Pelodiscus sinensis: one gene and its partners. Each later gene encodes a partner of the first gene's protein in a complex. Links are inferred from orthologs where the notes say so. Each region holds a gene or a part of one and is shown on either strand. Other genes may lie near its edges.

The links.
Region 2: CHTOP (region 1) and THOC7 share a complex: the UniProt entries of both Homo sapiens proteins name them as parts of the transcription/export (TREX) complex. The link is inferred for Pelodiscus sinensis from reciprocal best matches to the Homo sapiens genes CHTOP and THOC7.
Region 3: CHTOP (region 1) and THOC3 share a complex: the UniProt entries of both Homo sapiens proteins name them as parts of the transcription/export (TREX) complex. The link is inferred for Pelodiscus sinensis from reciprocal best matches to the Homo sapiens genes CHTOP and THOC3.
Region 4: CHTOP (region 1) and THOC6 share a complex: the UniProt entries of both Homo sapiens proteins name them as parts of the transcription/export (TREX) complex. The link is inferred for Pelodiscus sinensis from reciprocal best matches to the Homo sapiens genes CHTOP and THOC6.

What each region holds. Positions count from the first base shown.
Region 1 is NC_134734.1:23,640,845-23,648,313, forward strand, and holds the start of CHTOP (chromatin target of PRMT1 protein), read right to left. Parts: upstream 3,013-7,469; 5' UTR 2,853-3,012; intron 1,366-2,852; exon of another isoform or gene 1,335-1,365; intron 1,077-1,334; 5' UTR 1,060-1,076; coding exon 995-1,059; intron 1-994. Other genes in the region: S100A1 (protein S100-A1), read right to left, coding at 5,416-5,559, 6,047-6,187. UniProt on the Homo sapiens protein: Plays an important role in the ligand-dependent activation of estrogen receptor target genes. May play a role in the silencing of fetal globin genes.
Region 2 is NC_134721.1:4,391,552-4,399,342, reverse strand, and holds the start of THOC7 (THO complex subunit 7), read left to right. Parts: upstream 1-4,780; 5' UTR 4,781-4,937; coding exon 4,938-4,956; intron 4,957-6,320; coding exon 6,321-6,438; intron 6,439-7,791. UniProt on the Homo sapiens protein: Component of the THO subcomplex of the TREX complex which is thought to couple mRNA transcription, processing and nuclear export, and which specifically associates with spliced mRNA and not with unspliced pre-mRNA.
Region 3 is NC_134727.1:40,973,548-40,981,012, forward strand, and holds the start of THOC3 (THO complex subunit 3), read right to left. Parts: upstream 3,014-7,465; coding exon 2,792-3,013; intron 2,286-2,791; coding exon 2,129-2,285; intron 1,020-2,128; coding exon 815-1,019; intron 1-814. Other genes in the region: SIMC1 (SUMO-interacting motif-containing protein 1), read left to right, coding at 3,219-3,272, 5,332-5,979, 7,087-7,316. UniProt on the Homo sapiens protein: Component of the THO subcomplex of the TREX complex which is thought to couple mRNA transcription, processing and nuclear export, and which specifically associates with spliced mRNA and not with unspliced pre-mRNA.
Region 4 is NC_134714.1:134,744,368-134,751,685, forward strand, and holds the start of THOC6 (THO complex subunit 6), read right to left. Parts: upstream 3,001-7,318; 5' UTR 2,875-3,000; coding exon 2,860-2,874; intron 1-2,859. Other genes in the region: HCFC1R1 (host cell factor C1 regulator 1), read left to right, coding at 4,605-4,828, 4,930-4,992, 5,693-5,848, 5,948-6,112, 6,188-6,335. UniProt on the Homo sapiens protein: Component of the THO subcomplex of the TREX complex which is thought to couple mRNA transcription, processing and nuclear export, and which specifically associates with spliced mRNA and not with unspliced pre-mRNA.

The DNA of each region.
Region 1 (7,469 bases):
AACCACAGGAGGTACCACCTGATAGCATTTGTTCAGAATACAATTTCTTGGGCATTTAGGAATTTCTTTGGTATGCTGGGAATTTTCCTCCTTTAAGATTATGTGGCATGAACATATGATCAAAAAGTAAGCTCTTTTACCAGTACCCTAAAAGCCACAAATGACAGTGAAATGAAGCACTACAAAGTGCTCAATGTGGTCTGACTAGAACTAACAAAATTAACAGGTCCATAATTCCCCTGTATGGTACCTGCCTGCCCTGCCATAAGCCACAGGCACTGGCTAAAAGTGCAGCCCATACCGAAATAAGGACAACTTATAAATGGCTTCATTTCTCTTTGGTTTAATGACATTAACGCTTAATCTGAGAGTGAGTAAGTGAAAAATGATCAGAAGCATCAATGTTAGTTCGTCATTATAGATTTGCAAAAGCATAATGGCATGAAAGTGCTGGAGGATATTTAAGAGAGGAAACAAAAAGAAAGCAGTGCCAAGAAAGAAAAGCGATGGAGATGAAGCAAAGCATTTGCCTCTTACAAGGCCCAAGAACATTGTTAAAGGGCCTTTGGGCTGGTTTGGTGGCCTGCTGCATGCCTCTTACAGGCCAGACCCATGCGTGTGTCTACCTTGGACAAAGCAACAAGCCTTCTGCAGCGTTGGTAACATGCTACCATGCTGCAGTGTCAACTATTTAAAATGTAAAAACATGTGGAAGAAAAAGGGAGGGTGCGAGGTTTCTCTCTTTTTATAAAACATCCCACCATATTTATGTCTCAGTTTAATATTAACAGCTACTGACAAAATCCTCCAAGATAATTGCCCTTTTAACCTTGTGTACCACATTTGCTGAGACTTAAGCCAGAGGCGCATAGCCACCTGCTTTGTTTTAGTTAGGTTAAAACAGGGCAGAAACCACGTTGGCTTTGGACACTGGACACAGTGACAATTAAGTAAAAAAATTCTTATGAGCTGAAGTTGCTGTTGGCTTCCTCACCGCTCGTTCAGAGACATCTTGGTGGTGCTCTTTAGCACAACCTTCGGCGCCGACTGCGCAGCCATCTTCAGATCGCGATAGTCTGAAATGAACAACAGCCAGTCTTAGCAGGAAGAACTGAGCCCGTAGAATGATTTGGCTAGATTTTCCAGGCCATTGTGTCTGTGGGTGAAGACAGCCAAGAACCGCACATGAGCGATGCACTTGCACCAGCAGCGTGTTTCATGGCATCGTGAAATGTCCCAATGCACCTTTCAACAGACTGGTGAGTTATGTGGTCTCGTCTAGGGATGCTGAATATCGGTTAACCGAACAGTCGAGTAACCTCGTGAATTCTTACCAAAAGCTTCAGGGGGGGTAGCCACGTTGGTCTGTAACAGGGAAAACTTTAATAGCACCGTGAAGACCGATACCAGCTGCCTGCTGTGTCAGTCTGCAGGCGCTACCAGGGCATTTGTTGAACTCCTGTCAGTTATTCAACTAGTCCACAGTGTGTGTGTGGGGGGGGGGGGGGAGAGGGGCGCGCCTGGCAGCACCCCTCTGTCGGGGGGGGGCGCACCTGGCAGCACCCCTCTGTCGGGGGGGGGGGGAGGGGGCCCCCCTGGCAGCGCCCCTCTGTCGGGGGGGGGGAGGGGGGGCCCGCCTGGCAGCGCCCCTCTGTCGGGGGGGGGAGGGGGGGCCCGCCTGGCAGCGCCCCTCTGTCGGGGGGGGAGGGGGGCCCGCCTGGCAGCGCCCCTCTGTCGGGGGGGGGGGAGGGGGGGCCCGCCTGGCAGCGCCCCTCTGTCGGGGGGGGGGGGAGGGGGGGCCCGCCTGGCAGCGCCCCTCTGTCGGGGGGGGGGGGGGAGGGGGGGCCCGCCTGGCAGCGCCCCTCTGTCGGGGGGGGGGGGGAGGGGGGGCCCGCCTGGCAGCGCCCCTCTGTCGGGGGGGGGGGGGAGGCCCGCCTGGCAGCGCCCCTCTGTCGGGGGGGGGGGGGGAGGCCCGCCTGGCAGCGCCCCTCTGTCGGGGGGGGGGAGGGGGGGCCCGCCTGGCAGCGCCCCTCTGTCGGGGGGGGGGAGGGGGGGCCCGCCTGGCAGCGCCCCTCTGTCGGGGGGGGGGAGGGGGGGGCCCGCCTGGCAGCGCCCCTCTGTCGGGGGGGGGAGGGGGGGGCCCGCCTGGCAGCGCCCCTCTGTCGGGGGGGGGGAGGGGGGGCCCGCCTGGCAGCGCCCCTCTGTCGGGGGGGGGGAGGGGGGGCCCGCCTGGCAGCGCCCCTCTGTCGGGGGGGGGGGAGGGGGGGCCCGCCTGGCAGCGCCCCTCTGTCGGGGGGGGGGGAGGGGGGGCCCGCCTGGCAGCGCCCCTCTGTCGGGGGGGGGAGGGGGGGGCCCGCCTGGCAGCGCCCCTCTGTCGGGGGGGAGGGGGGGCCCGCCTGGCAGCGCCCCTCTGTCGGGGGGGGGAGGGGGGGCCCGCCTGGCAGCGCCCCTCTGTCGGGGGGGGAGGGGGGGCCCGCCTGGCAGCGCCCCTCTGTCGGGGGGGGGGAGGGGGGGCCCGCCTGGCAGCGCCCCTCTGTCGGGGGGGAGGGGGGGCCCGCCTGGCAGCGCCCCTCTGTCGGGGGGGGGGAGGGGGGGCCCGCCTGGCAGCGCCCCTCTGTCGGGGGGGGGAGGGGGCCCGCCTGCGAGACATGTCCCGGCGGGGGCGGGAACGCGGCAGCCGGGGCACTAAGCGGGAAGGCCCCGCCCCGCCGGTGCCGAGGGGGCCGCTGCCGGGCCGGGGAGCGGCGGCGCCTGAGGCCCCGCGGCCCCCGAGCACGCGGCCCCGGGCCCCGCTGTCCCCGGCCGGGCGCAGGGCCCGAGCGGCCGCCCCCCAGCCCGGCCCGGCCGCTCACCGAAGCAGACGGTCGCCAGGACTCCGGGCGGCGCCGCGGGGCGGGGGTGGGGCGCGGGGCTGGCTCCGTGGGGCTCCGTCCCCTCCGCCCGCTCCCGCTGCCTCGCGCGGCCGCTCGCTCCCTCAGGCGCCGAAAACAAAATGGCCGCCGCCCGCTTCCCTACTCCCCCCGCGCCGAGCCGGGGGAAAATGGCGACCGGCGCCACCGCGCTTGCGCAGGCGCGAGAACGCGCGGCCCTCGCGGCGCCTTGCGCCACGTGATCGCACCCTCGCTTTCCCGCCCCGGAGGGAGGGGGCGTGGTTGAGCCACGTGACCACTCCGAGTGAATGGGGCGGGCCTTGGCCAGAGGGCAGGGCTTGAGAGGGCTCTTTCCGCAGTGGCGTGCGGATGCCAACTCTCCCGGACCGGACGGGCTGCACACCATGGCTATAAATGGCATCCCATCTGTCTGCTCCGGGAGAGCTGGCAACGACAGAGTTGGGGCTGGGAGGGTGCCATGATGGAAAGTAGGCTAGGGTGGGGGGAGGGAATAGCTGGGGGGTAGCCTGGGCTGGAAAGGGGGCATGGATTGTGGCCCCAAGGTGGAGGGTGCCAGTCCTGGGGGCAGCTGGTTAGGGGGGCTCCCCTGCAGGCTGGGGGGCGAGGGAGAAGCGTCTGTGCCCACCCCCGAGCCCCGCCCCCAGCCCTCCCAGCACAGGGCTGCTCTGCGCGAGGATGGGGCGGGCTCCGGGTTCGGCTCTCGCCCGCGTTCAGACACCAGCCCCAGGGACAGCCACAGGGCCTGAGCTCCCCTTGGGGCCCCAGACGGGACCCCGCGGTGGGAGCCCCATGGAGTTAGTCCTACGGCCGGCCCGTCGGGGGGAATCGCGAGGGGTGCGCTCCTGGGAGAAGCGCCCGCGTGGCCGGGCTCGTGGTTCTGTGTCGGCGGATGCGGGTGGCGGCGGGCAGTGGTGCGCGTTGTGTGCGCTAGGGCAGTGGTGCGCGTTGTGTGCGCTAGGGCAGTGGTGCGCGTTGTGTGCGCTAGGGCAGTGGTGCGCGTTGTGTGCGCTAGGGCAGTGGTGCGCGTTGTGTGCGCTAGGGCAGTGGTGCGCGTTGTGTGCGTTAGGGCAGTGGTGCGCGTTGTGTGCGTTACACGCGCAGCACCAGCGCGAGGCTCAAGCCTTCCGAAATCCGGAGCCAGAGACGGGATTCCCCCTTTTTAAACCATAGTAACGGCAGGGTCTTTCCACGTCCCCGCTGGGTGAAAGCTGCATCGCCGTACTTGGCAACGCGGCCTCGCGGATCCCGGTCACTTCGCTTTCACTATGGAAAAACAATGGGAAGCCACATTTGAAACAAGGCCTTGGAGGGCTCATCGTGTTCTTTCCTGCAGTGGGGCTACTCCCAGCTCCGCGTGCTGTCCGAACTAGCGCAGCCCAGCCAGGGGGTGTGCGTCTGGTGGGGACGGGTCAGTTTGCTCCCTGCTGCAAGCAGTTCAAGGCCGTTTTCTGCATCGCGGGCTTCGAGGCCCTGGCTGGGAAGGGGAGAGGAGAACCTGCAGCAGAGGACGGGAGGCCAGCGCTCAGCCTCTGATCCTGCAGGCTCCCCGACTCACACGGGCACGCCAGCCTTTTTCCTGGCCCCTTGCGGACACGTTGATCGCTGTGCAGTTTGCTTGCCTCCGACGCGCTTGTCCATGCCGCGGTGGCTGCAGTCAGCCGCGTCGGCCCTCGAGGGGCGCTCCCCGCGCTGCGTGCTGCTCAGCGAAACAGCCGGTCCCAGTCAGGGGAGGCTGTTTACTGGGCTCCCGGCCGCCCTCGGGAGGGAGATAAGAACGGGTTCTTCCCCTTGGGGAATGGGTGCGGCACCGTGTTTGTGAACTTCCTGCCCGCCCCAGCAGAAGCTGTCCAGCCCCACCTGCGTCACCCACGCTGCTGCCCCCTTCCCCCAGCCGCCCCCATTCCCCTCCCTGCAGGACCCTGCCTCTTTCCGACAGCGACCGGCCTGCTTGAGGCAGGGTCGCCCTGGGGGGGCCTGTGCCACGTGGCGCCAGCTACGAATGGGCATGAACGCGGGCTCCTTTGTGCGGTGGCCCTGGCTGAGGCACGTGGGTGACGCCAGAGCCAGCGGCCTGCTTGGCCCGTGGGTCAGAGGGGCAGGGGCCAAGAGAGCCAACGGGAGCACCGAGCACAGGTGGTGAATGGGTGGGGAGGGGTCCTCACTGGCTGGCCAGGGGCGACTCTCCCCCTGGCACTGCCCTGAAAACGGATGGCTCCTGTCCCCCCAGGAACCCCGAGTCTGAGGGCCCAGAGCCCAGCCCCACGGGCCAGGGCACGGCCTCCACCCTCTCCTAACTCCAGGGCTAGCATCGACCCTGGAGCCAGCACTCTCCCCACTCCCAACCTCCCCGAGCCCTGCTGCAGCCGTGTCCCCTCCCCACTCGGCTCGGCGGCCCCGAGGAAGGGACGGGACACCAGGCGCGTTTGGTGCCTTTAATGAGTAGCTCTGTCTAGTGGTTAGAGGGGGGCCGCCGGCTGGCTCAGAACGGGGGTGGGGGGGCTGCGGCTCCAGGGGGGCTCCCCACTCAGGTGTCCTCCCAGAAGAAGGCGTTGCAGGCCACGGTGAGCGCAGCCACCAGCACCACGAACTCCTTGAAGTCCACCTCCCCGTCGCCGTCCACATCCAGGTCCTGCATGATGCCGTCCACGGTGCTAGCGTCCTTCTGGGTCTGCAGCAGAGACGCCCGAGCAGGAAGGGTTAGGGGGACGCCGGGCTGGGGCTGTGGGGAGCCGGCCCGGGGGGAGAGAGGCCAGAGGGCTCGGCAGGGAGGGGGCGGGAAGGGCTGGAGCTGCAGTGGGGCAGGAGAAGCCAGTGGGAGCCGGGGGAAGGCAGAGAGGAATGTTGGGAAACTTCATACCAGCAAGGCCCGTCAGCCTGGGAGGGGCTGGAGCCCAGATGCCGGGAACCGTCTCCAGCCCTACCCAGGGGAGCGACCCTGCCCCGGCACCTGGCTTGGCTCGGCCGCCTCCGATTCCTGCTGTGCGGCTGGCTGCCCCCCACGGGAGGGGAGGCGGGCGTCCTGTGGTCCCTGCGCCGGACGGCGGGGGCACCTAGGCCTGCCTGCTCCGTGCCAGAGGACCCCCCCACCTCCACAGGGCCGGCCCCCGGGGCTAGCACGGTGCCACGCACATGGGGCCTGGGGGGCTGATCCCCACCTCCAGGAAGCAGCCCAGCTCCGTCTGCAGCAGCTCCTTCAGCTCCTTCTTGCTCAGCTTGCGTTTGTCGCCCTCCTTGCCCGAGTAGTGGTGGAAGACGGCGATCAGCCCCTCCATGGCGTGCTCCAGCTGGGACGCCATCGCGCCGGCCCTGTCGGAGACAGCGTGCAGGGCTGAGGGGGAGCCACCTGCCTGGCAGACCCACGGCGGGAGAGCCGCCTGTGGGGCCCAGCCAGCCCCAGGGGGCTTCACAGGGGCTGCCCACGTGGGGGCTGTGGCAGAGGGTGCGGGGACGGGCGCACCTGCCCGCGGGGAGCTGGGCAGCCCGGCCATGCCAGCCAGGGGCCGGGGCTGGGGGTGTCAGCTCCGGTCCCATGCCAGAAGCCACCGGGCGAGGATGAACCGGGCCTGCCTCCAGCCGGACCCCTGGGGAAACTTTCAGGGCAGAAATAGCACCTGCCCGGAGGGGGGTGTGTGGTTCCTGTCCCTGCCCCCTGCTCCCTTCTGCCCCAGGCCGCTGGCCGTGCTGAGCCGAGGAGTCAGAGGGCATCGTGGGGTTCGGAGCCACCAGCCCCACCCCCTGCACAAAGCAAGTTCTGACACGGGGCTCTTGATCCCCGCCGGCCTGGCTGTGCCCAGAGCCATGGGGTGGCTGCCAGGCCCCCTCGTTAAGCCCTGCCCTGCCAAGAGCAGAGGGGGCCAGACCAGAGCCGGGGTGACCCCTGGGCTCCCCTGTACAGCTGCCCCTCCCCTGGGCTGCCCCCGAAGACCCACCTGTCCCTGGGCTGCCCCTGCAGCCGCTGGCTCGGCGCTCCTGCGGAGTGAGCCTGCGTCGGCTGGTCAGTGACTTTAAATAAGAGCCAGGCCCCCCCGCCCCCCCACCCTGGTGGATCTGATTCCAGAGACTGGACAGCCTGGCTGATTTAAAGGGCCAGAGGCGGCGGCGGGGCCTGTGCGTATCGGGGGCGCTCCGAGCTCGCTGCTGCAGGGGCTGCAACGCGCTCGCACGCGCACAGAGCGAGGGGGTCGCACGCCTCCCCCAGCCGTGCACAAGCGGGTGAACATCTGACGTTCCCCCCAGCCAGTGCCAGCTGAAGGGGGGGGGGCTCCTTGTAACCCACCCCAGGGGCTAAACCGGGAGCAGCCCCTCTGCTCTGTGGGGCTGGGACCCCAGCGCTCCCACCGACCCCATTCTCAGCAGCAGGCACGGGCCCCTCTCCTCGCCGTGGGCTTCAGTGGTTCCCGAAGGGACCCTGCCACCTCCCCCTCCTCCTGCGTGGCCCTGGCAGAGGCTCAGAGAGCCCCGGCGGGAGGGGAATTGTTCCGCTGGCTGGCGGCCCCCAGCATCACCGACCGGCACCCGATTTCCAGCGACCCCCACCTGCTCCTGGGGCCCCCTGTGAGCCGGGTGCTCGCGCGGCCG
Region 2 (7,791 bases), on another chromosome or scaffold:
CGCGGTGGCCATTTTTATTTTAATAAAGCAGGGATTACTTAAATCCCCGCTTCACTGACTATGTCGAGTAAACTACTTTACATGGCTCCGTCGATGGAGCCAGGTAGTCTAGATGCACCCTATGATGTGAAAATTCCAATGAACAGAGCTTTTGGTTCCATTAGTATCTGTGTTCAGCTAATACTAATATACTATTGAAAAGGGCAGGAAAGACTCTAATACTAGGATAGCGTCTAATTCTGTAGGGGGTTTCTTTTGTGCATATGTCTTTTATGGCCATAATTTGTGTTGTTAGAGCTACTTTACCTGTTTTGCAGGATTTTTAAAGTGTTAGCTTTATCTTTATTTTTGAAGTGTTTTTCCCTTGAAGCATTTACACTTATTACACCTGCGGTACCTACTTTTCTTAGTCCACGATCACATAAAATCATGTGTTATGTATTTCAATTAATGCTAAAAACAGACAATAATAATGCACAAGAGCAGAAGCGTTCAAAATATTTTTGTTCTTGATTTCAAAAGAAACTGCGTGAGGCTTTCATATCTCATAATATCAAAAGACTTTATATTACATCAGTGACTAGGGAGGATTTTAAAATTGTATCTGATTTTTAAATCTGCAGAATTACATAACTTGCAATCAATTAATTAGATTTTCCAAAGTAAAGGAGAATCATACCTGAAATGATGAATGGGGAATCATAACTGAATTTGTGTGATTCTAGTTGTGTTCTACAACAATATGTTCCTGCCCTATTAATGTTTGATATTTTTATCAATAAGCTGGAAGAAAATACGTCCTCTGCAAATTCTACGGCAAAGATAAACAATTGTGGAGTAATAATGATAAGGACAAAGAGTGATCTGGATCGCACGGTAAATAGGGCTCATTCAAATAACATGCATTTAATACAACCAAAATTAAAAATTATAAACATAGTAACAAAGAATAGTTGTCACACTTGCAGGATGAAGGACTCTACTCTGGAAAGCAGAGATTCTAATAAGATATCCTGGTGGATAACCAAGTGAACATGAGTTCCCCGGCTAAGGCTGTGACTAAAAAAGGCAATGAAATCTTTAGATGTATAAAATGGGAAATATCAAGTAGAAGTAGAGATATGGTATTGTCTCTGCATATAGTATTGGTGAGATCATTACGCTTTCCGGTTCAAGTGTCTTCTTCCTTTTACTAAAAAGATGCTGGAAAATTGAAAATGGTTCAGAAAAGAGCTACAAGAATGATATGAGTTTTGAAATCCTGCCTTTCAGAGACCCAGAAACTCAATCTTTCTCTTATCAAACAAGGTTTAGAAGGGACTTGATCACAGTTTAAAAGTACATGGAGAGGAGATTTCATTTAGCTGTAGGTTCTTTAATCTATCAGACATGGTCCAATGGATGAAAGCTGAAACTAAACAAGTTCAGACTGGGAAAAGGTGCAATTTTTTTAATAGTGAGGATAATTAATCTTTAGTACAACTTACCAAGGAATGTAGTAGATTTCCATCACTTGAAGTCTATCAGACTGGATATCTTTCTAAAAGACATACTCTAGTTCAACCAGAAGATAGGAACCTGAGACAGGAATCATTTGGCCTGTGTTATTCAGGAGATCAGATTAGATCATCATAATGCTCACTTCTAGCCTTAAAATCTATGAAGTGTTAAATTGCATTTAAAATCCTGTAATTTTATCAAACAAAAGCCATTGATAAGAAGACAGAAGTACAGGCATTTTCCTTTAAATCAAAGTGCTGTTAATTCAAGCATGAGTCAACGACAGAGATCAGTGGAACCATTCTAGAACCCTGAAATGTTCTATAATCAGTGACACATGAAGACATGAGTCACATGAACATCATTAAACAACATGAACTACTCATCTGGACTACTGGATTCTAAATGAACTTTAACCATTAAATAAAAGTATGTAGATAATACTGTGGAGTTCAGTGTAAACACCTGATCAATGGACAGTGGTAATCAAAAACCAAAAAGTCTTATAGTGGATGAAGAAAGTGATAAAAATAATATAAAATAATATGTCATTATATAAATTAATTGTGGTTCTTCGGCTGCAATATAATATTCAACTCTGGCCTAAAAGGACATTGCAGAAAAAGAGAGAGTCCAGAGAAAAGAAATTATTAGACATGAAGGAAGATTTAAAATGTTCAAGACAATATAGTTTACAGAGCAAATGAAGAAAAGGTGATTAGATAGAGGTATGTAAAATAATGAACTGTTAAAAGTGCCTGCTTAAACTTCTCTAATCTATCATTTCTTATAATACTAGAAGATCTGGATGATAGGTGCTTTAAAAAAGCAGACTAGAGGCATCCAATGAAATTAAATGGCAACAAATGCAAAACTGAAAAAAGGAAATGACTTATTTAAACCATACAAAATTAACTGGTGAACTCACTGGCATGAAGTATTATTGAGGCCAAGAGCTAGCCCAATTTAACAAAGAATTAGACACTCATATGAATAATAAAACTATTGAGAGTTACATACTATCATATAGTCTCAGTTAATCTGTAACTGAAAAAATTTAGCAAACAAATGGTCTGGTAGCACTTTATAGAGTAACAAAACATGTAGATGGTATCATGAGCTTTCGTGGGCACAGCCCGCTTTTTCAGATGAAAGCTCATGATACCATCTACATGTTTTGTTAGTCTATAAAGTGCTACCAGACCATTTGCTTGCTGTTTTTTTTCCTGTAACAGACTAACTCAGCTACCCCCTGAAGCTCCTGAAAAAAATTAAAAAACAATGAATGGTCCTGCAGCACCTTAGAGATTAACAAAAAATGTAGACAGTATCATGAGTTTTCGGGGGCACAACCCACTTCTTCAGATGAATGTAGTGGATTGTGTCCCCGAAAACTCATGATACCGTCTACATTTTTTGTTAGCCTCTAAGGTGTTGCAAGACCAATTGTTTTTTAAGTTTATACTATAATATAGAAAATTTAAGAGATAGAAATTACTTATCTATGGTTATTTCTTCTACTATCATCCATCACTATAATATCTCAAAACCTAAATTTATGCTTCAGGATGTAAAGCAAACACAAATTACTTAGGATTAGGGAGAAACCAATTGTCCATTATTGGCATTCTTGTACCTTCCAATAAAATATCTAATACTAGCCACTATAAAAACAAGATACTGAACTAAATAAGCACTGGTCTGATTTGGTATGGCATTTCCTATGTACCTATTAAAGACCATTCTCAGGAGCAAAATTAATCCCTGAGCAAGTTCACCTTTAAACCAGGAAACTGCAAAACATTCCAGTGCTCTCACACTTTTTACTGTATCCTAGATCAATTTTCAAAACAAAAAACTGACCCTAGTGAGAAAAACAAATATTTTAAGCGTACAAAGAAGCACATAAGTTATGTAACATGTGACGATCAAAACAAAAACAGAAGACTATGGTAAAAATATATATGAATGAGAGCATCCAAGTAAAGTCCTCTAAAATGCTTGAAACGTGAATGCTTATTAAAGTATACCACAGTAACACCAGCTACAGCTAACTACACCGTTACTACAGAGTCACAGCTTGTGGTTCCACATGCTAACGCTAACCATATGGCATAAATAAAACCCTAATCTCTCCACCCCCTTGTTCTCTCCCCTATGGTTCCTAGCTTGGGTCCGCATGGATCTCCTCAACAAAGAGCGATGAGGCAGATACCAGACCAGCTAAAACAACAGATGGATTCTCCCTTGGTGTAAACATCTTTAGCGTGGGCATAACTTTTATTCCCACTGCAAACTGATACTTTGTAGGTCAGTAAAAGGGTAAACAAGGTGCTGAGGACAACTCCAGTTGGTGAGCAGCTACCTCACTGGGTTTAGTAGGACCAGTTGGGACTCTGGCAGCATCCTGCCAGATGCAGATGTCTGGTCCTTCTTAGCATAGACGGGAGAATGAATTTTTTTTTGTTTTTTTGCTCAGACTATTTTATATTTTAAAATTAACAGTGACACTGCAGAGTACCGCTTGTTGAGAGATAAGCACAGGTCCAATGTGGTTACTGTCAATGTTTTACCTCAATGAGCTAGGAAAGGGTCAGTCATACCCAACCGGAGTTAGAAATTGCAGTGGTAGCACAAATATAAGGGCGACAGTGATAAGGGACATGGTAGCAACGAGACAAGTGCGTAACACAGCAGCGAAAGCAATGAAGGAAACAACGGCCACAGCAACCAGGAGAAGGGAGATGGTGGGGAGGGATGTTAATTCTAGAGAGCCGATGGTGGTGAAGTTGTCGTGGGGAATAACGGAAAGGATCACATCAAGCGAAACGATGGCGAAGGCAACTGCGATGAGAGAAGGGGTGGTAATGGAAGCCAAAGGCATCATGGAGAACGACGGCAACCGCGGCGGCTCAACGATGGCAAACGCAACCCAACGGAGGAAAATCACGGCCACCCCGGGGCACGATGCCAACGAGGGCGGCAGAGGGGGACGGTGCGAGGCCAATGCCATGGGGGCACCCCAGGAGAGCGTCAACGAGGCCGGCACCCACCCCACGCTGCCCGTGACGGAGACGGGGGGCAGGACGCCAGCCACGGGCACGCGGGCGGTTGCGCGGGGGCCACGCGTGGCGCACGACGGTGAGGGGGCAGGGGGCCCCCACGCACCCAGCACCCGGGGGGGGGCGCCCAGGAGGGGGGGGCCGGGCGAGGCCGGCGCGCGGGGTGGGGCCGGCCGCCCCTCACCTGGTGAGGCCGGTGCCGCGCGGGGTGCGCCCGCCCTCTCCCCCGCCGGCCGGTGGCGCGGCAGCGCGGGGCCCCGGGTCCGCAGGGAGCAGCTCAGGCCCCAGCCTCCGCCTCCATGGCTGCCGCGGCCCCGGCTGCATTGTGGGAAGCTGACCTCACTCGCCGCCGCCCCGCCAGCCGCCTGGGCCGCCATGGGCGCCGTGACCGACGGTGAGCGCGTCCCCGGGCCCGCCCGGGCCTCCCCTGCCCCCTTATAGCGCCCGGGACACGCGGGCCTCCCCCTATAGCGCCCGGGCCGGGCCGGGCCTCCCCTCCCCTTATAGCGCCCGGGACACGCGGGCCGGGCCGGGCCTCCCCTGCCCCCTTATAGCGCCCGGGACAACCGAACCGGGCCTCCCCTCATCCCCTATAGCGCCCGGGCCGGGCCTCTGCCCCCTCCCCGTTACCGGTCGGGCATCCCTCCTTATAGCGCCCCGGGCCAGGCTTTTCCCCGGTACCGCCCGGGCCCCGGGACACGCGGGCCTCCCCCTTATAGCGCCCGGGACAACCGAACCGGGCCTCCCCTCCCCCCTTATAGCGCCCGGGCCGGGCCTCCCCCCCCCCCCCCCGGCCAACCGAACCGGGCATCCCCTCCCCCCTCGGTACCGGCCGGGCCTCCCTCCTCATAGCGCCCGGGCCCCTCGGGCCAACTAGGCCTCCCCTCACCCCACTCCTCGGGCCGAGCCTCCCCTCCCCTCTTATAGCACCCGGGGCGGGCCTCTCCCCGTTACCGGCCGGGCCTCCCTCCTCATAGCGCCCGGGCCTCGCTTCCCTTCCCACCCCCTTATACCGCCCGGAGCTCCTCCGGCCCAGGCCTCCCCCCTTATACCGCCCGGGCCAGGCCTTGCTCTCGCCTCCCCCCTTTTACCGCTCGGGGCTCCCCCGGGGTGATAGCGGGCCGGGCCTCTCCCCCTCCCCCCGGCCAGAGCCTGCCTCTCAGGCCCCAGCTCGTGACCCAGCCCCACAGCGTTGGCCTCGGAGCGCCCCTCGCTCCAGAGACCACAGCGCTTTGGGGGGCCCCTACAGGTCCCTGGGGTGCCCCCCCATTCCCGGGTTTGCCCCCGTGTATTCCAGAGAGACCCCCCGCTGCTGGGGTTCCCAATGGGCCCCCGTCGGCTCCCAGCTCCTGCCTCCCGCACCCCAGCTGTGAACTCCAGGCTTCTCCCTTTTCCCCATGTCCCCTTCCCCTTCCAGAATCTCTGCCTACCAGCTGTCTTCCCTTCTTTCCCACTCCAGAGCTACCGCCCCCATCCACAGAAACAATCACACAACCCTAAGCACCAGGCAGGCCCCATTGCAGAATGCCCCCACTCAGACCTTCTCAATTTGGGAAATTAAGGGGGGGGGGGTACTTGTTGGCAGCGAAGTAATGGGGAAGGGAGGTTGGATACACCGAATACCCTACAGTCAACCATAGAAAATGTTCTCTTCAGTGCCAGGCTGTAATGGGAGGGATATTGTTCAAAACCAGGATCAATCATAACTTGAGGCTGTAACTTACCACGTTTTTAAAATATGATCTTCCTCTACTCTAGATGAAGTTATTCGTAAACGACTTCTAATTGATGGAGATGGTGCTGGTGATGACAGACGAATTAATTTGTTAGTGAAGAGCTTCATTAAATGGTGCAACTCTGGATCTCAAGAAGAAGGGTATTCCATTCTCTGTTTTTCTTCTTTAAAGCAATGTGGTCTAGATACCAGTAGTTCAGAGCCAAAAGCTTGTTTTGATTATAAAAACATTCATTTCATCTTAAAACAATTCATTTCATCTTAAAACATATTTTATTACATTTAAATAGGACCTTGCATTGTTTACAGTCCAAACTCTGCAGCAATTATGTAACCCAGATAATTAGTACTGTAGAGTCATTTTTTGCCAATTCCCTTGATATTAGTATTTTATTTAAAGCTCTAGGTCTTGGGGTTAAGTAATTGGATGGGAATGTCAGCTTTTTTTTTTCTTTACTTATCTACTCCCATTGATGTAGACTGAAAAGTTTGTACTCTAAGCACTCAAAAGCCAGAAGGCAAATAAAAAACCCTTTTAAAAAATCTCAATTTAAAGTGAATTATTTTTTAAGGCCTGATTCATTTTTTTAAAATATTTTGGGTTGGTAATAGTGAATCTACGCTGTTGCTTAAGCACTGTTGAGAGTTCAGTAGTGTTATAATCTTTCTGCTATAGCAACTGATTTTACAGGAACTCACAGCTGTAGTATAGTACAGAGTTTTTCAACTTTTTTTTTATAAAGTACCCACTTTAAAAAAAAAAAAATTATAAGTACCTCCAATACCTACATTTTTCAGACAGACAACATTTTTTTCTACCAGTGCAACACATTTGTTTAAACAACTTAATTGTAGCCGGGCGGGCCATGAAAATTTTTGGGTGTAAAAAGTACAAAAATAACAAAGTGCTGTAAGACTGACAACAAAAATTCAGTTTTCTCTCAATTTCAGTTGTGTTGACTTATCCCCCAGAGTTCTCTCGTGTACCCCTAAGGGTACTGATATCCCTGGTTTAGGAACTCTGGTATAGGATGACTGACAGATATGTCCTGGAGAAGATAGTATGTTGCTTTTGTTCCTCTGTATAAAAAAGTGTCAACGAAAAAGCCCATTAATTAAACTCCATTCAAAATGAAAGGGAGGACTTTATTAGAGACAACACTCTAAAACTAGATGCTTAGAGGAAGTTTTCTTTTGGGTGACTATAAGAGCATTCTGCAGAGCGTTCAGAGCAAGACGTTGTAAAATAGAACTGACAAAGTAGTCTAGGGCTGTTAAATTGCGGTTACCGAGCTAACAGAATAGTCGATAGGACTGCTATGCAGAGCTGCAGTGGGGGTAGCTCCGGGAGCCACCCATGCTGCAGCTCTGCGTTTTAAATGTAGTGAAAATCGTCGGGCTCTTACTACATTTTAAAGGTAGTGGCACCGTGTCTGCATGAGCCGGGACTGCTCGGTCCTGGCTTGTGCTGAGTCCAGCAGCCCCGTTTGTGGC
Region 3 (7,465 bases), on another chromosome or scaffold:
CCCCCATTACTGTTTACCTGTCTCTTAGTAAGTGGGCCCCAGAGGAGCACCATGACATCATCTGGAAGGGAGGTCCCAATTATGGGATTGCTCGAGCTTGATGTTATTCAAGACTTTCCTTCCCCTCAACAGCACAGAGGCTGTCGGGGGGGGGGGGGGGGGGGGGGAGGGGAGACTGCTCTACTGTTACCCTGGAAGTCTCTGCAGTGTACCTCCCTCTCTTTTAGCTCCTCCAGTTCAGCCACCCTGGTCTCAAGAGCCCATACTTGGAATCTGAGGGCCATGAGTTGCCCACACCTGGTGCACCTGGCATAGAGGTGCAGGACCCTGAGGTTTTCTGGGGGTAGACCCAGTCCTTGCGCTGGGTCAGAGATGGGTGCAGCCTCATCGCTGAATCTGTGTCGCAGGGGATAACTTCACAGCGATCTCCCACCTCTGTGCACCCGGTGTCCTGTGCTTCCCAGTCTCATGCTGGAGCCGTTACTAGGTACATCTGCCTCGCAAAACTCCCATTTCTTTTAACACCCTGTTCCCCTGAGATAGGCCCACCCCCTAAGGCCCACCCCCAGCAAGGAACCCTAAAGGGTTAGCGATCAAAGGACAGCAGACTAGAGCCCCATTGGGAACCTCTCAGCCTCGTCTACCAGCCAGCTTATGACAGCACACAACCCCCCAACCACACCACACTGTAGCCCTCAGCTATTGCCAAGGCAATCAGTCTACACAAGAGCCATGAGAAGGAAAGACAGCCCGAGGGAGCAGGGCAGGAGATGTAAGAGGGGGGCCCCGCACTAGAGACCATGCCGGTAAGTACCTGAGGATGTTGATGCAGCCGTTTCCGTTGGTGAGGAAGAACATGTTGTTATCATTGTTCCAGGAAATCTCATTCACCTCAAACTTAAACTGCTCCTCAGCCTTGGAGCGATGTGTTTTGGCATCAATGAAGGTGACCACATCATCCTTATTTCCCACAGCAATGGTCTGGCCATCGGGGCTCCAGCAGATATTAATGTTCTCTCCTGGAATGGAAGAGAGTGGGCAGGTCCTCCCGCACCACTAATGGGGGCAAGAGCCATTCATGTGCCATAGACAGACTCTTGTACGTTTAACCCAGGTCTGCCCCACAAACCTTCTGCCTTGAGTGGCAAAATGCACAGACAGCACCTGTGGTACCTTAAAGACTAACAGATATATTTGGGCATTAGCTTTTGTGGGTAAAAACCATACATCTGACAAAGTGCTTTTTACCCCCGAAAGCTTATGCCCAAATATGTCTGTTAATCTTTAAGGCGCCAGAGGACTCCTCCTTGTTTCTGAACAATTTTTTTACATAGTAGTGACTCAGGGGTGTTGGAACAATTTGCAGGGGTGCTGCTAATCCCAGCTGAGTTAGGGAGAGCAGGATTCACCTGCATAGCACCCTAGCACACATTTCCCGCACCTATATACCACCTATATACTGACTGGAATGAATATGTAACGAAACCTTGGAAGAAAAGATGCTTAAAAAATAGAAATGGGAGGACTCAACGTTTTTTTCTAACTTCTAGCTATCCCTTCTCCCTAGAGCCACACACCAGAGAGATTTTGAGACAGTCTAACATCAGTGCACCTCCACCAATACTAGCGCTAATGTAAACAGGTTCAGGTGTTTAACACTGTGTCAGAACATGGCTAATGCTGGGTACACACACAAATTCTCCCTGGAGATAGTGTAATGCAGGGGTTCCCAACCTGGGGAACGAGAAGCTTGTCAAGGAGGTACGGGAGCCAAAAAAGGTTGGGAACCCCTGGTGTAATGTATAGTTATAATTTGCTACTAAGAGCCAGAAAGATGCAATTGCCACACAATCATCATATACAGAGCTTGACAAATGGCAGTGAAAGCTGCTCGCCAGCCCCGCACTGAGCATGCGCATGCCACCGGTAAATGGGGTGTGCAGCTGAAATCTACTCGCCACGGGTGAGTAGATTCTATAGTTTGTCGAGCCCTGATCATATAGAGCTCTCAGGTTTCCTGAATTTACTGGCATCCATGTTGGGAGCAGGATGCATTTGCAAAAGAAGCAGTGTTTGTAGCTGTACTGAGATGTGCGGGTCCCTCTAACCTCCTCACATCAGCACCCACCTTTGGTGTTCACGGTAGCGATGCACTTCGTGGTGCGGACGTCCCAAATACGGATGGTTTTGTCTCCAGAGGCGGTAACAAAGAGGTCGGGGTTACTGGGGTGCCAGCACAGCTGATCCACACTATCCCCGTGGCCACGATAATTGTTCTCCTTCACCTACAGGAAGAGAATTGTTCTCCTTCACCCCCCGCCCCCGCCAGCCTCGAGCCCCTCGCCCTGCCCCACTGAGAAGAGCCTCTGGCCCCCCGGGAGCCGCAGGCTGCTCTCAACCCCCCCCCCCCTGCTCTTCTGTGGACTGAACGATCCCCAACCCCCCAAACACGTCGCGGGCTGCGGGCTCCAGCCCCCCCCCCCAGCCCCTCCCGCCCCGGCCGGAGCCCCCTAGCCCCGCCCCGCCCCCCCAGCCCCTCCCACCCCAGGCCAAGCCCCCAGCCCCGCCCCCTAGCACCTCCCGCCCCGCCCGGAGCCCCGCCCCCTCCCACCACCAGCCCCGCCCCCTAGCACCTCCCACCCCAGGCCAAGCCCCCCAGCCCCGCCCCCTAGCACCTCCCGCCCCGCCCGGAGCCCCGCCCCCTCCCACCACCAGCCCCGCCCCCTAGCACCTCCCGCCCCGCCCGGAGCCCCGCCCCCTCCCACCCCAGCCCCGCCCCGCCCCCTAGCACCTCCCGCCCCGCCCGGAGCCCCGCCCCGGGGGGGCGCACCAGCCGGTCCTTCTCCAGCACGAAGACGCTGGCGGTCTTGTCGAAGGAGCCCGAGGCGAGGCGGCGGCCGCAGCAGCTCCAGGCCACCGAGTGCACCTTGGCGCCGTGCGCCGGGAACTCGCGGCTGCGCGTGTTGGCCCGGAACAGCTCCTGCATGGCCTGCACGTACGGCGAGAGCGCCATGGCAACCGCCGCCCGCGCTTCCGCTTCCGCTTCCGGCGCCAGGGGCGGGACGTCGCCCCTCCCCCCGCGCTGCAGCGCCCCCGCGCGGCCGGCCCGTGCACGGGTCACAGGCCCCGCCTGCAGCCGCGCGCGGACCCCTCGGGCCGCTCCCAGCCGCCTGCCCCCCCGGCCCCCGTGAGCGCCCCCGCGCGGCGCGGGGCGGGGCATGGCCGAGGGCGCCGCGCGCACCCGCCACTCGGGCTCGGAGCGGGGCCACGCGGTGAGTCCCGGCCCCGCCCCCCCGCGCCCCCAGTGCTGCCCCCACCCCCATGTCCCTCTGGGCCCCCCCGCCCCCCCACAGCCCCGTGCCCCCCCGCGCCCCCAGTGCTGCCCCCACCCCCCATGTCCCTCTGGGCTCCCCACTGTTCCCCCTGCACCGCTGGCCCCCCAGTGCTGCCCCCCACAGCTTCGCGCCACCCTGCACCTGCCTGGGCCCCCCTCACACACCCGCACCCCTCTGGGCCCCCCCGCGCCCCCAGTGCTGCCCCCCACAGCTTCGCGCCACCCTGCACCTGCCTGGGCCCCCCAGTGCTGCCCCCCCACACACACCCGAACCCCTCTGGGCCCCCCCGCCCCGGCACCAGACTCCCGCCCCCCCCCCACAGCCCCGTGCCCCCCCGCGCCCGATGCCCCTCTGGGCCCCCCAGTTCTACCCGCACACACCCCCCATGTCCCTCTGGGCCCCCCACTGTTCCCCCTGCACCGCTGGGCCCCCCAGTGCTGCCCCCCATGCAGGGGCAGGTGCCCCTTTTGCGGGGCTCAGGGCAGTCCAATTTCGCGGGGCCCCCCTTTGCCACGGCGCATGCGCGGGGCCCAGGGCAGTCGCCCCTCTCGCCCTGCCCTATATCTGCCCCTGCCCCCATACTCCTCTGGGCCCCCCACTGTTCCCCTGCACCACTGGGCCCCCCCGCTGCCCCTCACACATACCTTGCGCTCCTCTGGGCCCCCCAGCGCTATGCCCCCCCACAACCCCTTGCACCCCTCTTGGCCCCCCGGTGCTGCCTCCCCATGCCCCTCTTGGCCCCCCGGTGCTGCCCCCACACACCGCCCCGTGCTGCTCCCCTGCATCCCCCTCGCTGCCCAACCCCAAAACCAAACTCTCATGCCCCACTGCTTTAGCCCCTGTGCACCACCATCCCTGGCTTCCCGCCGGGCGCCCCCCTGTGTGCACATGCACGCACTCACTATGCCTAACCAGACCTCCATGGGCCAGGCCTGATCCTCAGAGCCAGTCAGCTGGTGTGGCTGGCAGGGGTACCAGCACTTTGGCTGGCTCGGGGGCCAGACATGGCTCAGGTTTGCAGTGGCTGCCAATGCTTATCCTGTTGGCTGAGGCCCTGCGAGTTGAGAGGGGCTGTTCTCAGTCCAGTTCCTCGTGCCCCGGCAGCGGGGTGGAAGTGGGTGGGTACGGCGTGCCGGAGAGAAGTGGCTGCCCCTACCGTCCTGGGCACAGCCCATGAGGGGGTGAGCAAAAGTGGCAGCTGCCCCAGGGCCTGGTGGTTTAAAGGCCCTGGTTTGAAAGGCCGGCTGGGGGAAGCTGACCTCCACCCCTTCCCACTGGGGCCCCGGGAGCTGGGCTCCTGTACCAGCATGCTTTGTAAATTACTTTCACCATGACTAGTTGCCGTATTTCGACCTCTCGGCACTCTGGGTCAGCACTGGCTTGCATAAACCCCTCCGTGATTCTAAGGCTAGAAGGGGGCCGCTGTGCTCGCATCTGAGCAGCAGAACCGAAGGCGGCTCTGAATTTCTGGGCCAAATCCCGAGGCGCTGGCTGCGAAGAGCAGAGCGTTTAGAAAAAACATCTGCTCTTTATTTCAGAACTGCCAGGGCTGGAGAATCCGCCCCAGCCCTTGGTAGGCTGGCCCGGGGCTAATTACCGTCACTCTTCCACATTGGCCTTATTTCTAGTCTAAATTAGTCTAGTTTCTGCTTCTGGCCATTGGATCGTGAGTCCTTGATACATCGAAGCCCCACGTAGCTACACCCAGACTGTGCCCAAGTCTCCCCTTAGCCGTCTCTTTGTCAAGCGAAATAGCTTGAGCTCCGGGGGTCTCTGACATTTGTTCTTGAGTCTTTTAACCCTTCCTGTGACTCTGCCGGGAGCCCGCTCCCATCTTTCAACCCTCTTTCTTCACGGGTGAGCGTGGGGTCCCGGCAGGGCCTTCTGGGTGCTGATGCTGCCCGTGAGGAAGACTTTCATGTGGGCTGTTGAAGCTGAGCTCCGTCCTGGGGCCCCAAGGCTTGGGGGCAGCACTGACGGCTCTCTCTCTCCCCAGGAGGTCATTGATCTGACGGGCGAGGACTTGGCGGTGATTGACCTGACCGAGGGGGAGGGCTCCCCCGAGGTCGGCGCGGAGTGTGCGCTCCCTCCCCACGGCCCCCTGCTCCCCGCCGTAAAGCAGGAAAGCAAAGAGGAGGCCGAGCAAGGCTGCGGGGCCCCCTGGGACAGAGCCCACGCGGAGACAAAGGGCACCCACGGGGGAGGCTGTTTCTCCTCCGACTCCAGCAGCAGCAGCACCACCATTAACAGTGACCTGGGCTCCCTAGCCAGCCTCCAGCTGGACTCCGACGTGTTCTCCTTCTCCTCGGCCAGCAGCTGGAGGGCAGGCTCGGACTGCTCCGTCCCCGAACCTCCCAGTAGCTGCCAGCCAAGGGACGACCCGGACTGCGGGCCCCTGCCCCCGGCTCAGAGACTCTCTCCCGACCGCTCCAGCTGCCCCCCTGCAAGCGGCCGCGGGTCTCCAGAGTGGCCTTTGCTGGAGACTAGTCGCTGGGTGCTGGGTGCAGCGAAGCAGGAACCCCCCGAGCCAGGCAGGCGGAGGCTGGTCCACAAGGCCTGGCTGCATAAGCTGCGCTACTTCAGGAGGATGCCGGTGCACCACTTGTTCCTCCAGGGAGTGGTACAGGACGAGGAAACCCGCCAGGTAAGCACGTGGGGCCCCTGCCTCCCTCCCGGGGCCAGGTGGCGCCTCTCATATGGGGGGGCGATGCTTGGGCTGCGCCCCCGGCCTTTCCCGTCAGCCGGGCTCTGTGGCTCAACATCCCAGCCTGCAGCCAGCGCACTGCAAATTCGGGGGGGGGGTTACCAATGACTTGGGGTTTGGCCACCTCCTCTGCAATGCGCCCGTCCTGGCCTCTGGCTGCCTTGTGCCCGCTCAGTACCGAGCAGCGCCCCAGCAAGGCAGAGCTCGAACAGCGGGTCGCGCCTGGTAAGGTCCCGCGGAGGGCAGGGGACAGCAGGTCTCCGCTTGCGTGCGCCAAGGGGAAAGGTGCGGTCTCTGCGCAGATGAGCCTGTGCCGATCCCCTCTGGGCAGCACTGCGCAGAGCTTACGTCACCAGCCCGAGGAGCTGCTGGGCCGGCCTGTGAGCTCTGCCGTCCTGCTGGGGTTTGGTGCTGGGGAAATGCCCCGTTAGCAAAGGGCCCGGCGAGCCGGGAACCCGGCGGTGTCAGCATGGGCCAGCAACGGTCCATTGAGATGGGCTCCTGTGCTGGAGGCAGGCAAGCCCGCAGGCCAATCCGTGAGTGCCTGCACTGCCCGGGGCCTAGATGCATCTTCTCAGCTCCTAGAGGCGGATGCAGGGCGTTCTTGCTTCCTGGAGAGGGCCGGCCGGGTGACAGCACAGCTGCCTTTGGGTGACTGAGCCATCGCTCAAAGCCCCCCCGCGGGGCATGACACCCCCCAGCTGCACCAGTCGGTAGTCATGGTGCTGCACCTGGGGCTGGGTAGCCGTCCAAGCTAGCCCCACCTGGGTGACCGCAGCACGGCCCCCGGCTGCGTACCCTTCCCTTTCTCCTGCCCCAGGAGAGTTCCTGGGAAAGAGACCCCTTTTCCAGCCAGGGCTCTAGGCAGCGCCCAAATCGGCGAAAAGGGAGCTAAGGCACGTTTCCGTGCTGGGGCATTCCACCCCCGCCAGCCCCTGGGACGAAGCACAGCCAGGCAGGGGGTGAAACTGTGGTTAGTCCTGGCAGGCTGCACGGCGCCCCGTGTGACACGGCGCCTCGCACGGCTGACGCCTCACTGTCTGACAGAACGCCCGCCGGAAGGCCCAGCCCATCCCCAGCACAAAGCTGAGCATGGTGGTCACCACCATGGAGGAGAACTTCCCCCGGGGGACCCTGCAGTTCCTCACGGACTTCGTGTCCTGCCAGCATTACCCCCCGAAGGAGATCGTGTCCCACGTGACCAGGAACATCCTGCTGAGCTCGGAGGCCGGGCCTCTGCTGAAGGACGCCTACATGCTGCTGATGAAAATCCAAATGTAGGTGCTCTCTGCCCCGGCTCCGTGCTGCCTGGCCGGGAGCTTGCTCCCCGTATGGCGCTGGCCGCCAAACACTCCGGCAGGGAGGCCCCTTCCCAGCACGGTGGGTCCGAGGGCCTGGTGGAGGCTGGTGCCCGGCCGGGGTGGCA
Region 4 (7,318 bases), on another chromosome or scaffold:
CGCCGGGGAGCCCCCAGAATGCACCGGGCCGGGTCCCGCCACGCCGGGGAGCCCCCAGAATGCACCGGGCCGGGTCCCGCCACGCCGGGGAGCCCCCAGAATGCACCGGGCCGGGTCCCGCCACGCCGGGGAGCCCCCAGAATGCACCGGGCCGGGTCCCGCCACGCCGGGGAGCCCCCAGAATGCACCGGGCCGGGTCCCGCCACGCCGGGGAGCCCCCAGAATGCACCGGGCCGGGTCCCGCCACGCCGGGGAGCCCCCAGAATGCACCGGGCCGGGTCCCGCCACGCCGGGGAGCCCCCAGAATGCACCGGGCCGGGTCCCGCCACGCCGGGAGCTCCCAGAATGCACCGGGCCGGGTCCCGCCAAGCCGGGGAGCCCCCAGAATGCACCGGGCCGGGTCCCGCCAAGGCGGGGAGCCCCCAGAATGCACCGGGCCGGGTCCCGCCACGCCGGGGAGCCCCCAGAATGCACCGGGCCGGGTCCCGCCACGCCGGGGAGCCCCCAGAATGCACCGGGCCGGGTCCCGCCAACTCGGGGAGCCCCCAGAATGCACCGGGCCGGGTCCCGCCACGCCGGGAGCTCCCAGAATGCACCGGGCCGGGTCCCGCCACGCCGGGGAGCCCCCAGAATGCACCGGGCCGGGTCCCGCCACGCCGGGGAGCCCCCAGAATGCACCGGGCCGGGTCCCGCCACGCCGGGGAGCCCCCAGAATGCACCGGGCCGGGTCCCGCCACGCCGGGGAGCCCCCAGAATGCACCGGGCCGGGTCCCGCCACGCCGGGAGCTCCCAGAATGCACCGGGCCGGGTCCCGCCACGCCGGGAGCTCCCAGAATGCACCGGGCCGGGTCCCGCCACGCCGGGGAGCCCCCAGAATGCACCGGGCCGGGTCCCGCCACGCCGGGGAGCCCCCAGAATGCACCGGGCCGGGTCCCGCCACGCCGGGGAGCCCCCAGAATGCACCGGGCCGGGTCCCGCCACGCCGGGGAGCCCCCAGAATGCACCGGGCCGGGTCCCGCCACGCCGGGGAGCCCCCAGAATGCACCGGGCCGGGTCCCGCCACGCCGGGGAGCCCCCAGAATGCACCGGGCCGGGTCCCGCCACGCCGGGGAGCCCCCAGAATGCACCGGGCCGGGTCCCGCCACGCCGGGGAGCCCCCAGAATGCACCGGGCCGGGTCCCGCCACGCCGGGAGCTCCCAGAATGCACCGGGCCGGGTCCCGCCAAGCCGGGGAGCCCCCAGAATGCACCGGGCCGGGTCCCGCCAAGGCGGGGAGCCCCCAGAATGCACCGGGCCGGGTCCCGCCACGCCGGGGAGCCCCCAGAATGCACCGGGCCGGGTCCCGCCACGCCGGGGAGCCCCCAGAATGCACCGGGCCGGGTCCCGCCAACTCGGGGAGCCCCCAGAATGCACCGGGCCGGGTCCCGCCACGCCGGGAGCTCCCAGAATGCACCGGGCCGGGTCCCGCCACGCCGGGGAGCCCCCAGAATGCACCGGGCCGGGTCCCGCCACGCCGGGGAGCCCCCAGAATGCACCGGGCCGGGTCCCGCCACGCCGGGGAGCCCCCAGAATGCACCGGGCCGGGTCCCGCCACGCCGGGGAGCCCCCAGAATGCACCGGGCCGGGTCCCGCCACGCCGGGAGCTCCCAGAATGCACCGGGCCGGGTCCCGCCACGCCGGGAGCTCCCAGAATGCACCGGGCCGGGTCCCGCCACGCCGGGGAGCCCCCAGAATGCACCGGGCCGGGTCCCGCCACGCCGGGGAGCCCCCAGAATGCACCGGGCCGGGTCCCGCCACGCCGGGGAGCCCCCAGAATGCACCGGGCCGGGTCCCGCCAACTCGGGGAGCCCCCAGAATGCACCGGGCCGGGTCCCGCCACGCCGGGAGCTCCCAGAATGCACCGGGCCGGGTCCCGCCAACTCGGGGAGCTCCCAGAATGCACCGGGCCGGGTCCCGCCACGCCGGGGAGCTCCCAGAATGCACCGGGCCGGGTCCCGCCAAGCCGGGAGCTCCCAGAATGCACCGGGCCGGGTCCCGCCACGCCGGGGAGCCCCCAGAATGCACCGGGCCGGGTCCCGCCAGGCCGGGAGCTCCCAGAATGCACCGGGCCGGGTCCCGCCACGCCGGGGAGCTCCCAGAATGCACCGGGCCGGGTCCCGCCACGCCGGGGAGCTCCCAGAATGCACCGGGCCGGGTCCCGCCACGCCGGGGAGCTCCCAGAATGCACCGGGCCGGGTCCCGCCACGCCGGGGAGCTCCCAGAATGCACCGGGCCGGGTCCCGCCACGCCGGGGAGCTCCCAGAATGCACCGGGCCGGGTCCCGCCACGCCGGGGAGCTCCCAGAATGCACCGGGCCGGGTCCCGCCACGCCGGGGAGCTCCCAGAATGCACCGGGCCGGGTCCCGCCACGCCGGGGAGCTCCCAGAATGCACCGGGCCGGGTCCCGCCACGCCGGGGAGCCCCCAGAATGCACCGGGCCGGGTCCCGCCACGCCGGGGAGCCCCCAAAATGCACCGGGCCGGGTCCCGCCACGCCGGGGAGCCCCCAGAATGCACCGGGCCGGGTCCCGCCACGCCGGGGAGCCCCCAAAATGCACCGGGCCGGGTCCCGACAAGCCGGGGAGCTCCCAGAATGCACCGGGCCGGGTCCCGACAAGCCGGGGAGCTCCCAGAATGCACCGGGCCGGGTCCCGCCAACTCGGGGAGCTCCCAGAATGCACCGGGCCGGGTCCCGCCACGCCGGGAGCTCCCAGAATGCACCGGGCCGGGTCCCGCCACGCCGGGGAGCTCCCAGAATGCGGTGGGGTTGACCCAGCCCGGTGCATGCTGGGAGCTCCTCCCTCTCCCCGGCCCCACTTACCTGCCCCGGTGCCATGAGGTCTCCCCATGCAATGCGCCTCCGTGTCGCGCTCCCCTTACGTCATCCCACCGCGCCGAGGACTGCAGCTCCCCGCAGGCTGCGCGACCCCGCCTGGCTTGGCTCCGGCGGCGAGCGCGCGCGGGGCCCGACGGGAAGTGGAGTCTCCACGCGCCGGCTGGCCCCGTTCTCGCAAAAGCCCAGGACTACACTTCCCGGGTGGCCGCGCGGCGCAGTACTCCATTGGCTCGCCCCGTCACATGACAGGAGCGGCTGCGCGCGCACCCTACAAGGAAGGCCGCGGCGGAGAATCCTGAGAACGTTGAGGTGGGGGGAGGGGAAGAAGAAAAAGCAACCCGATCGGCGCGAAAAAAACTCCCCCAAGGTCCGTACCGCGCGTGCGCCGATCCCCGCCCTAACTCCTCTCCGGGCGCGAAACGAATGACATGGCCCGCGCCGCTTGGCGTCGCTCCTTCGCTCTGCGCATGCGCGGGATCGAGCTCCGCCTTCTGCCCCGCCCTTTCTTTCGGCCACACCCCTTAATCAGGCCCCGCCCCTCTCTATAGGGTGTGGCAGCTGGGTGCGAGGCATTCTGGGAACCCCTGGACTTGGCATGACCCGCCCCAGAGCATTCTGGGAACCCCTAGGCTTGGCATGACCCACCCCAGTGCATTCTGGGAACCCCAAGGCTTGGCATGACCCGCCCCAGTGCATTCTGGGAACCCCAAGGCTTGGCATGACCCGCCCCAGTGCATTCTGGGAGCACCCGGAGTTGGCATGACCCGGCCCAATGCATTCTGGGAACCCCTAGGCTTGGCATGACCCGCCCCAGTGCATTCTGGGAACCCGTAGGCTTGGCATGACCCGCCCCAGTGCATTCTGGGAACCCCTAGGCTTGGCATGACCCGGCCCAATGCATTCTGGGAACCCCTAGGCTTGGCATGACCCACCCCAGTGCATTCTGGGAACCCCTAGGCTTGGCATGACCCACCCCAGTGCATTCTGGGAGCTCCTTGGCATTGCCTTAGCCCACCCCAGAGCATTCTGGGAGCTCCCTGAGTTGGCATGACCCGCCCCAGTGCATTCTGGGAACCCCTAGGCTTGGCATGACCCACCCCAGTGCATTCTGGGAACCCCTAGGCTTGGCATGACCCACCCCAGTGCATTCTGGGAGCTCCTTGGCATTGCCTTAGCCCACCCCAGAGCATTCTGGGAGCTCCCTGAGTTGGCATGACCCGCCCCAGTGCATTCTGGGAACCCCAAGGCTTGGCATGACCCACCCCAGTGCATTCTGGGAACCCCTAGGCTTGACATGACCCACCCCAGTGCATTCTGGGAGCTCCTTGGCATTGCCTTAACCCACCCCAGAGCATTCTGGGAGCTCCCTGAGTTGGCATGACCCGCCCCAATGCATTCTGGGAACCCCTAGGCTTGGCATGACCCACCCCAGTGCATTCTGGGAACCCCTAGGCTTGGCATGACCCACCCCAATGAATTCTGGTAACCCCTAGGCTTGGCATGACCCACCCCAGAGCATTCTGGGAACCCCTAGACTTGGCATGACCCGCCCCAGTGCATTCTGGGAACCCCTAGGGTTGCGGTGACCCACCCCAGTGCATACGGGGAGCCCTGCAGTTCGGTGGGTCTGGCTGCTGGGCAACTTGGGAGCGGCGTGGGGCAGACTGCGGCCCATCGGCGGGTTGCTGAGTGTGTAACTCTCCCTTCTCTCCCCAGGCGATGACCCGTGGATGGCCCCCCCACCCTGGCAGCTGGGGCTGGCGGTGACCCCCAGCTTCGAGCCCCGGCGCTGCCCCTGCCTTGGGGGGGACATGGGCTGGAGCCGCCGCCCAAGGCTGGGCTCCCCCCGCTGCATGGCCCCAAGCCTTGACTGGCGGCAGGAGGTGCCCAGCAGAATGCCCTGGGCCGCTCGGGCTCAGGGGGTGGTGAGCTTCACCGGCACGGCCCTACCATGGTGAGCGGGTGGGGGCGGAGGCTGGGAACGGAGGCTTCTGGGATTGAGCCAACGGGGAGGGAGACCGGAGCCCTGATTGCCACTCTCCCCTCGTGTTTCAGCGTCCGCCAGCTGCCCCATGCAGCATCGCTGGCCCTCAAACGCCGCCTGGAGCAGGAGGAGCCGTGAGTAGGGCAGGCATCGCCCCCTCCTGGGGAAACCCAGCCAGGCTGCAATGCATGCTGGGGGATCCCTCGCTTGGCACCACCGACTGGCTGTTCTCAGACCCTCCCTACTTGGCGTGACTGGGGGCAGTGCATGCTGGGAGTGCCAGGCTAGGTGTGATGAGGCAGTGCATGCTGGGAGTCCCGGGGCTTGGCGTGACGGGGGGCAGTGCATGCTGGGAGTCCCAGGGCTGGGTGTGATGGGGCAGTGCATGCTGGGAGTCCCGGGGCTTGACGTGACTGGGGGCAGTGCATGCTGGGAGTCCCGGGGCTTGGCGTGACTGGGGGTAGTGCATGCTGGGAGTCCCAGGGCTGGGTGTGATGGGGCAGTGCATGCTGGGAGTTCCAGGGCTTGGCGTGACTGGGGGCAGTGCATGCTGGGAGTCCCAGGGCTGGGTGTGATGGGGCAGTGCATGCTGGGAGTTCCCACGCTAGGTGTAGCTTGGTGAATTGCGTTGGGGGAAGTTCTTGGCCTCACGACTAGATTGATGTGAGCGGGTGCAAGGGATTCTGGGAGCTCTCCAGCTTGTCTGCACTGGTCCCCAGGAAGCCTGGTCCCCGCCGTGCATGCTGGGAAACCGTCTCGGTGCCACTGAGCGCCGCGGGGCCCGGGCGCCCCCTAGGCTGGTGTGCAGGAGCGCTCCTCTTCCCCCCGCCGCAGGCAGCCTGGCCCCAAGCAGTTCCTGTCGGAGGAGAAGATGGCTGCTCGCTTCAACTCCCTGAGCCTGGAGAACGACCACCTCTACAGCGCCAACGGCTTCCCCGCCCAGGGCCCGGCTGCCAGCCGCCCCTGGGAGCCCTGGCTGCAGGAGCAGAGGTACCCTTGGCCCCGCCCCAGGGCAGAGCACGAGGGGGGCATTGCTCACCAGCTGCCTCACCCCAGAGGTGGCTGCATCTCAGCACTGTGTTTCCCCAGGCTGCCCCTGGCTGCAGGAAGTGAGGACGCCAGCACGGCGGAGTCCGAGGAGAGCGGCGTGGTGCTGGAGGGGGAGTTCAGCATGGCCGACTGCACCCTGCTCAGCCTGGGGGAGCCGGACCCCCCCAGGGACAGCCTCCTGGCCCCCCAGCTCCTGCACTGCCTGTGAGTATTGCCCCACAGCGGGGAGGGACCTCTGGGGCCAGCCTCACTAACTCCTCTGTCTGCTTCCCCCCCCAGGAACCCCTCGACGGAGCTGGTGCTGTGGGCGCCCCCCGGCAGCCGGGTGCCCTACTCCATCCACACCCTCCTGCTGCCCTCCGGGGCACTAGCCGCCCCCCTGCTGCCTCCCCTGTGCCGGGGGCAGCCCCAGGAGATGGAGCTCTGAGACCAGGGCTGTCCCCCTCCCAGCTGGAGAGACTGGGGCTGGACAGACCGACAGGGCCTGGACACGCTGCAGCAGGGCCCCGCTGCACCAGACAAGCCGAACGGACGGTTTTATGCCTCTCCTGCTGCCCAGGCGCTAATAAAGAGGAAAAGGGCCTGGAGCCAGGGTGTCTGGACTGTTTATGGGGCTGCCCCCCCCCCCGGGCCTGGGGGAGTTTCCAGGGGCCCCACCGGGTTACATTTCACCTCCAGGCTGGAGGCGTGGGGGGGGGGGGGGCATGTTTCTCCTGGCCGGCTGCCTGGCCTGAGAGTTCAACGTGGGTGAGGCTGGCCCCATGGCGTTCTCTGAACCCCGCAGCCCACCACTCCTTACCCCGGGAGCACTGGAAAGTGCCCCCCACCCTCTCCCTGGCAGTGCTGTGAGCTTCCCTGCAGCAGTGCCCCCAGCCAGGGACTCCCACACACTTAGAACCCGTGGGCTGGAAGAGACTCAGGAGCCATCGAGTCCAGCCCCCTGTCCAATCCCAACTCAACCGTCCCCGCCAGGGCTTGGTCCAGCCGGGATGTAAACACCCCGAGGGATGGAGACTCCCCGTCCCTAGGGAACCCAGCCCAGGACTGCCCCACCCGCCTAGGGAAAGCTTTTGTCCTGATCTCCAACCTAGAGCCACCCCGCTGCTACTTGAGCCCGTTGCTCCCTGTTCTGCCACCCGCCGCCCCTGAGACCAGCCTCTCGCCAGCCTCTCCGGACCCCCTGCCGGGAGCTGCAGGCTGCTCTCCAATCCCCCCTCGCTCTGCTCTGCTGCAGACTGAACAGACCCAACTCCCTCAGCCCCTCCTCGTAGGTCATGTGATCCAGCCCCCCAATCATTTCGGTCGCCTCCGCTGGCCCCCTCCAATGCGCCCACGTCCCTTCTGTAGTGGGGGGCCCAGAACTGGACACAACACTCCAGATGTGGCCTCCCCAGAGCCGAATAAAGGGGA